Bombyx mori: one gene and its partner. The protein of the gene in region 1 binds, or shares a complex with, the protein of each later gene. Links are inferred from orthologs where the notes say so. Each region holds a gene or a part of one and is shown in the gene's direction. Other genes may lie near its edges.

The links.
Region 2: the proteins of protein unc-79 homolog (region 1) and sodium leak channel NALCN are in contact, whole or in part, in a cryo-EM structure (PDB 7SX3), measured with the Homo sapiens proteins. The link is inferred for Bombyx mori from reciprocal best matches to the Homo sapiens genes UNC79 and NALCN. Residues at the interface, in NP_001333147.1 of Homo sapiens: Cys861, Gln862, Ile865, Glu968, Pro969, Asp970, Phe1020, Gln1022, Pro2088, Asp2089, Ala2092, Pro2093, Leu2095, Leu2096, Met2099, Leu2139, Pro2141, Asn2142, Gly2143, Ile2144, Gln2147, Leu2148, Ser2151; in NP_001337678.1 of Homo sapiens: Gln349, Met350, Phe351, His352, Glu353, Gly358, Trp359, Gln360, Leu361, Phe712, Ser713, Ile714, Arg717.

What each region holds. Positions count from the first base shown.
Region 1 is NC_085113.1:1,084,222-1,088,047, reverse strand, and holds part of protein unc-79 homolog, read left to right. Parts: intron 1-1,052; coding exon 1,053-1,142; intron 1,143-1,466; coding exon 1,467-1,543; intron 1,544-2,060; coding exon 2,061-2,170; intron 2,171-2,805; coding exon 2,806-2,913; intron 2,914-3,412; coding exon 3,413-3,536; intron 3,537-3,826. UniProt on the Homo sapiens protein: Auxiliary subunit of the NALCN sodium channel complex, a voltage-gated ion channel responsible for the resting Na(+) permeability that controls neuronal excitability.
Region 2 is NC_085110.1:9,112,546-9,116,984, reverse strand, and holds the start of sodium leak channel NALCN, read left to right. Parts: upstream 1-1,518; 5' UTR 1,519-1,563; exon of another isoform or gene 1,564-1,647; 5' UTR 1,648-1,781; coding exon 1,782-1,883; intron 1,884-3,102; coding exon 3,103-3,288; intron 3,289-3,587; coding exon 3,588-3,811; intron 3,812-3,894; coding exon 3,895-4,023; intron 4,024-4,439. UniProt on the Homo sapiens protein: Voltage-gated ion channel responsible for the resting Na(+) permeability that controls neuronal excitability. NALCN channel functions as a multi-protein complex, which consists at least of NALCN, NALF1, UNC79 and UNC80.

The sequences.
Region 1 (3,826 bases):
AACTAAAAAACAGTGCCGCCACGGTTTCAGTAATCGTTGCTTTAGTCAGCATCCTGATTGAACTCGTCGATTACGACGAAGAGTTCGACAAACCCATAGACACCGCCTACTGAGTTTCTCGCCGCATCTTCTCAGTGGGTTGCGCTTCCGATCTGGTGGTAAATTCTGCGAAGCACTACTCTTGCTAGGGCTAGGGCTAGTGTTAGCAAATTCTCTCAGATTGAGCCCGTGAGCTCACCTACCCGTCTGAGCGTAGCTGGAATACCCATTTGGCTACCAGCGGATAGGTAGGGACAAAAAATATCGTTGCTCAGAGACATTAACAATGTCAACGTCAGCAGCACAGCCAAGTCGCAAATTTACGCGAATACAAGTATTTATGTTCATCGCAACACAAATTAAACAGTATAAGAAGTACAACTAGAATTGCAAGAACACGCAGTATTCATTGTATAAAGTCTATGATAATTTTAAGCTACCAAAAAGCCGTCGAGCTTTCGATTAGAAAAGAACACGTCTCTCTATTTTTAAGCTCTAGGAACATTTAACTTAAGTGCACAAGTAGGTCCGCGGTACGCGAGGAATGGCGACGTCTGGTGAAGCGCACCACCACCCGAAATGATGACCACGACCACTCTGCCAAGAGTGCATACGACTGAGGAGAACATTTAATATCGAGAGCCATGCGCTCGTCTGACGGTGCATACTATTCTGACAATGCAGTGCCAAACACAACAAATATTCTGTAAACATGTTCATTTTCATTTCTATCGTCGAAGCTATAGTATTGGCCTACAACCCTCAGACACAGCCCACTGAGTTTCTCGCCGGATCTTCTTAGTGGGTCGCGTTTCCGATCTGGTGGTAGATTGTGCGAAGCACGGCTCTTGCTAGGGTTCGTGTTAGCAACGTCGTCAGGCTTGAGCCCCGTGAGCTCAGCTACTAGTTAAGGTTACGCTGATATAGCCTCTCAAGGCTCTCAGCTTAGGTAGGAAAAAAAAGAAAAAAAATTGGCCTACCACGTTTATTTTAAGCACTGTATCTGGTTTTAGGGTTCTTTCGATGAGCCATCTCATTATGAAGATCCCCCAAAGGTGGAGACCCCGATCGCTAATACAACTCATCCGACTTTTAACAAAATAGTAAGTTACCATCTTCTAATATGCAAAATTTTCCCGGTATTCCAAAAATAAATAATAAATTTGGAATTTAAAACCTACCGAGTATTATAAAATCAGCAAATCACTCAAGCTCCAAAAACAATTCATCAATCTGTCTTGTCATTTAAGAGGACTTCAGTGCCAAACACACGTAAAGAAAACCTACAGAATGGTATTGTTTTAAATAATAATTCAAATAAAATTAAAGTTAATTTTTATTAATTAAAATTTAAATTCTACTGAAAATAAAGGATGTGTTCCTTAGGATGAAACTGTTACATTGATGATGTCACTGATTATTTCCAGACTGCAGTAACGTCAAGGTCTGCACACCAGCTGTCCACGAGCTCATCAGTTTCCATCGGAAGCGACTCCTCCAATTTGTGAGTCTGTTTTCTACATTCAGCTGAATGGCATTGTGCAGTAACCCAAATCATTCTAACAGCTGGCACTCCCACTTTTTCTATTTCTGCTGCAAAAAAGCTATGTATTATGGGTCCAAGAGTCGTTACACAATACAATTCAGATTTTGACCTCGTGTCTCCAAATGAGTGGCGGTATTCAAGTGTCTATGGGATTCGGTGATCACTCAATACCAGTGCGCTTAGTGCGAGTTTTTTAACGTTCTCGATAGCGTAAAAGTTAACTCATATTTGTATGGAGTTGGAACGTTTGTCTACGCTAGGTGCGCTGTTCCAACTGCATACAAATTTGAGTTAACTTTTACGCTATCGAGAACATTAAAAAGCTCGCACTAAGCACAAAAGGTTCACATTAATCTGAAGTTAATTGTCACTGAAAAATGAGACCGAAGTATTTGCTGCATTATCGTTTTACTACAAAAATATTGTTAACATTTTGCCAGTGTCCAATGAGGTTTATTTTATTCTACGCGTTCAGGAAATCAACACCGATGAGTGGTCAATCGGTGGAGATATGGCCTGACCAGTTGCACGGACAACAGACTTCGCCCAGAGCCAAGATCCTCGGAAAACAGAAGAGAATCGTCGGTAAGTCTGTTGATTAAATAGTTTTTTGACGTTCATTGTAATTTTTTACTGGTGGTAGGACCTCTTATGATTCTGCACCGGTAGGTACCACTACTCTGCCTATTTCTGCCGTGAAGTAGTAATGCGTTTCGGTTTGAAGGGCTTGGCAGCCGTTGTAACTATACTGAGACCTTAGAACTTATATCTCAATGTGGGTAGCGCATTTACGTTGGAGATGTCTATGGGCTCCAGTAACCACTTGTCCACCCATCTAAGGAATAAATAAAAAAAACTGAAAATCGTCCATGTGGCAATATCATCTGTAAAGCTGTCTTTTACAACGGCCCTAGTTGAGCACTGAACCAACCATGCTATTCTTTGGCTCAAATTGCATACTTATAACATCATACAAATAGCCAATCAGAGACTATCTTCAATAAACTTTTCGATCGCCTGATTAGCTTAATGTTCAATGGTTGGCAACTTCACTACAGAATTCAGGTTCGAATTTCAGTTAGAGTATTTTTGTTTATTTCTTATAGTAGAAGAGGCATCTGTCGTGGGACCAATGGTGTCGAAACATATAACTTTTTAATATACCAATATATATGTAGATTATTGTTAGATGCTAATTTTGGAAGCCTTTTATTTAATAGTGGGAAGTAGTACATCTCCGGAGACGGGAGGGTCATCTGGTGAGGGACAGTTCTCTCAGTGGCCCTCACAGCCGAGAGACCCACAAGTACATCACATAAAAAGTCCAGGTATCTAAATAAATTTTTACTGTCAATTACGACTTACTTATTACGATATTTTGATCTGACGGTTTAAGTATTATGTCTAAAAATGGGAGTCATACAGACTTCATCACTTGAACTGAAAGATGGTTAGCTACAGAATTATTTTCTGTTAAGCTTAACAACTTTTTAACAACATTTACCACCAGTAGTTTACTGGTGGTAGGACCTCTTGTGAGTTCGCGCGGGTAGGTACCATCACCCTGCCTATTTCTGCCGTGAAGCAATAATGCGTTTCGGTTTGAACGGTGGGGCAGCCGTTGTAACTATACTGAGATCTTAGAACTTATATCTCAAGGTGGGTGGCGCATTTACGTCGTAGATGTCTATGGGCTCCAGTAACCACTTAACACCAGGTGGGCTGCGACCTCGTCCATTCAGCTAAAGCAATTAAAAAAAAATTTTTTTTTTTGAGCTTAACAATATGCTTATTTTAGCTAACAAACAAGTGATGTATTTTCGTCAGTACGGTGCTGTGCGTACACGTCGCCGGAGTCCCCGCTGTCCCGCATGGAGCTGGCCTGGAGCCCCGCGCCGGCGCCTTCACACACGCACGCGCCTGCCCCCTTCCGCATACCGCCCACCGAGAGGTACCTTCACACCCTCACTTTATTTTATTTTTTATTTTTTGATGATTGAAGGATTGTGGTGCTGGGGACGAATGCTCCGAATTCCGTGGACGGCCAAGAGGACAAATAAATCTATCCTGGATCAGCTTCGCATCTGAGTCAGGCTCTCAACAATCTGCTACCAGACGATCCTCAGCTACATCGGTCATATTACCCGCCGACAGTCAGATAACTTGGACAAGGTGATTGTGACGGGCAAAGTAGAAGGAAAGAGACTTCGCGGCTGATTACCTAGCCGTTGGTGTGATCAA
Region 2 (4,439 bases), on another chromosome or scaffold:
GTAATTTTGTTCAAAATTTAATATTATTTATTAGTTTAAAGTTTAAAATATAGTTTATACTTCATGTACTTACCGAAAGTAAGATACTCCAGCCGTTAAATTGCTTTTTCGGGCATTACTTTTGCAACTTTTGAATACACACTGCGGCATTGTGAGACGGGTTGACATTGGCTGTGTTTGAAGTGAACTAAACAAAATAACAGCTCACATTTCAAGTGAGCTGTTATTTGACGAGACGGATTTTATGCACCGACCCGAAATCTAGTTACTATTGTTGATCGAAGTAGCGATGTAATGATGCTCGAATCCCGCAAGCGAGTACTAATTTTTCTAATGAAATATGTACTTTGTCAAGTACGTATTGTATGCTCGATGCTTCTTATTGTGACTATAAAATGCAAACAAAAACCGTCACACAATGTATCAGTGTGCAACTGAACCAAAATATACGTGAATGTCGAAATATACGTTATTATTTACGAGTCGTAAAACTAACACATAAATGGTTGCAAGAGTTGGTAAATACAAACGTAATTTTAATTCGAAATGATGGTAAATGATGATATGGTAAAGAATAAGACATCCGGTGCATTCGTATGTAGCGATGCACCGGTGTTCGAATCCCGCAGGCGGGTACCAATTTTTCTAATGAAATACGTACTTAACAAATGTTCACGATTGACTTCCGCGATGAAGGAACAGCATCGCGTAACAAAAATCAAATCCGCAAAATTATAATTTGGGTACTAATTACTGTTGGTAGGCTTGTGAGTCCGCACGAGTAGGTACCACCACCCTGCCTATTTTAACCGTAAAGCAGCAGTACCTTTTGGTTTGAATGGTGGGACTTTGCATCTATACCTAGAACTCATATCTCAAGGTAGGTGGCAACATCTAGGCTGTAGATGTCGATGGGCTCCGGTAGCCACCTAACACCAGGCGGGCTATGAACTCGTCCACCCATTTAGGCAATAAAAAAAATCAACATCGCCAAGAATCAGTAAGTCACCATTCGCAGTCATTGTGCTTTATTAAAAGCAAGGTTGCTTAAGTATAAAGAAATACGATAGGCAGTGGCTTGGCTCTGCCTCTGGTTTTGCTCAGGTCTATGAGCGACGCTAACCACTCATCATCAGGTGGGCCGTAATGTCATTTGCTTGCAAGGTCAATAAAAAAAAACAAGCTTACAAATTAAATTAATTAATTTCACAACATTCAAGTTCGCCATTCAACAAGCAATACTGAATAGTTTAGGAATTGCTTAAATTCACAAGCGTGGAAGAAAAGATAAAAATCGCAAAACATGACTTTACGGTTTTTTTTTGCAAAGAAAAACTTAATTCTCAGTGAATTATTCACGATTAATGGGATACTCTTTTCTATTTCATTTCGTTTTCGTTAAATTTAATTTTAAAACAAACGTATGAGCTATGTTCCCTTTGCTAGTTAAAATTGCAAGAACATTAATTATTGACCAGCAATGTAAAACATCTCAGATTCAAATCATTTTGAACAGTGTTTTGAACGAAAATCAAGGAAGTTAAAATAATTGTTGAATTTCATGTTAATATTTAAATACTGTATTGTCCCTAGACGTTAATAGTGTTAACAAATATTATTCATAATAGTTTTTTGTGTTTAAAACAGATTTTTCAAGCTGCTTTTATTTTATGAAAATGAAATATTCAAAGTGGAAATGGTTCCAAATAAATACAGAAATTACAAATTCCATCCGCACCGCTTAAGAATAATTTTCAAAAATTCTCTTCAAACGCATAAAAATGTTGGGAAGGAAGCAGAGCTTGAAAGGAGAGCCTGTGCTGGCTGATTACGGACCAGAGGAATCGCTAAATGAAAGTGCTGATATCGAATGGGTTAATAAGGTAGTTTTTTGTTGCTTGTTTGCTTTAAAAGACTTCATAGTCTGCGGCTCATGACATACATTTTATGGTAGGCAGTGGCTTGGCTCTGCTCCTGGCATTGTTGACGTCCATGAGCGACGGTGACCACTTACCATCAGGTGGGCCGTATGCTCGTCTGCCTACAAAGGCAATAAAAAAAAATACAGCTACAATCGACGTAAATTTGCCAAGGCAATTCCAAGGACGCAGCCAATCTACTCACTAAATCATAAATGAAAGTTCAAGACAAAAATTATATATTGTTGGCATTTGTTGGGTGTTCAGGTGAACATAGTGGAGCAGTATCTCATTACCTATGTCCTCATTTGTAGACTCATTCACTACAAATCACATTTTGGCCTTTTGCTTAATATTGCTCTCTAGACCAGGACCCCTATATAGTTATATCAATTAAATTCCAAACATAAAATAAACTTTCAGGCTATTAATAATCAGTTTCATGGCATTTTGGGCATCATAAAATTCTTTACTATCTATCATCTATATAAAAAAAATGTTTAGATGAATGCCTGTTTTCTATTTATATTCATAAAAGATTTATCTGATTGTGATGAAAGTTGGTACATTTTCCATTAATCAAGCTTTTTTTATTGTACTTTAAACACGTTACTACAAATACTACATGTTACGTTGAATTATTATTAAGAAATCATTCTTTTTCATATAAAGGAGTGAAAGGTATTTGGTGTAAGTGACATTTTTGCACTTAAATTTAAAGTTAAAAATAATTAATTTATTAATTTTATTTAAAGTTAAAAATTTAGACAATATATCACAACAATTTTTTTTTAGCTAATTGAATGGAGTGAACTTTATTGAAGTTCAATTAAAAACATTGAACAGTTGATGCTAATACCAAATAAAACAGACCTTTAATTATCAAGATAAATGTCGTGCATTAAGTAAAATGTCACTTAAACCAAATAGTCTTTCATCTCTCGATATAATTATTAAGAGTTGTCAAAACTAGGTTACACAGATTTCACTTCACTTTAAAAAAATTTTTGAAGAGAAGAAGAAGAAAACAACTTTACAATATAAAATGTACTTCAACTGATTTCAAATTTTCTTTGACTATTTTAATTAAATTGTCTAATTATTTTTTAAAATTTTACTACTCCCATGAATTTTGTTTGCCATTTTAAATTAAAATTTAACAGCAACAAACTTTATTTTACAGCTATGGGTTAGAAGAATTTTGAGACTATGTGCCCTTTTGAGTTTGATGTCTGTATCTTTAAACACACCAAAATCATTTGAGAAGTATCCTTATCTTCAAACTATAACTTTTGTAGTTGATTGCTGCGTAACTCTACTTTTTACTGCTGAAATGATTGCTAAAATGCACATAAGAGGAATTCTTAAGGTAATGAGTTACAGTCAATATTTTCACAATTTTAGTTTATTTAATACACTTCAATTTATTGATACCACCTTTGGTAAAACTTGTAATTGGATCCCATATAAATCACATCGTTAAAGCCTAAATAGAATAGTGATAACTACCAGTGCATGTTTACATTTTACCACATTACTAATTTAAGTTGTTTAAGTAATTTTTTTTAATGTATTTGTTATTAAACAACATTTAGTATACTTTACATTTGCTGCTGTTTTTAGATAATTGTTCGAAAATTCAAATAAAAAAGGAATTATTTGTTGCAGGGGGATGTCGCATACCTAAAAGATCATTGGTGCCAATTTGATGCTTCTATGGTATTTTTTCTTTGGGTATCTGTATTGCTACAAATGTTTGAGTTAACAGGAATTGTACCTAGATACAGCTATTTAAGCATACTAAGAGCACCTAGGCCATTAATTATGATACGGTTTTTAAGAGTATTTTTGAAGTTTTCAATGCCAAAATCTAGAATAAACCAGATATTCAAGTAAGTTTGTTGCTCCTACCACTAAATATTGTATTTTTGATGATATTAAATTATACTGAGTGTATTACTTTTATAAATTACAGGAGATCAAGTCAACAAATCTACAATGTTACACTATTCTTCTTGTTTTTTATGTCACTGTATAGTTTGCTTGGTGTTCAATTTTTTGGAGAGCTCACACATCATTGTGTTAGGAACAACACCCACCCAAGGTAAAGTTTAATTTTCTATTTTTATCATGATTATAAAATGTCAAATGGGTATAATAGATGGATGTGGTTGACATAGTCACTAAGCCGGCTTAGTTCTATACACGGTATAGTAGAGTACTGTTGTGATACACCTACTGGTTACTGGTACTGGTAGCAAAAGGTCAGTATGGGACAAGGTTGGAATATGGCTGCTTTATTGAAGATTCAAAAAAAATTATATACATAATAGTTGCAGCCATTTAAACATAAGTTTCAAAAATCTTAGGTAAGCTAGGTAGTAGTGGCTAAAGAATCTTGCATTGCAATTTTATAATTGTTTATTTTATTTTGCACGTAATTTAAAAACCAAACGTCAATATAAACTAGTTCCAGTCTCAATTATAAGCAGAGCTGACAAAGTAAATGTAGTTGGTTTG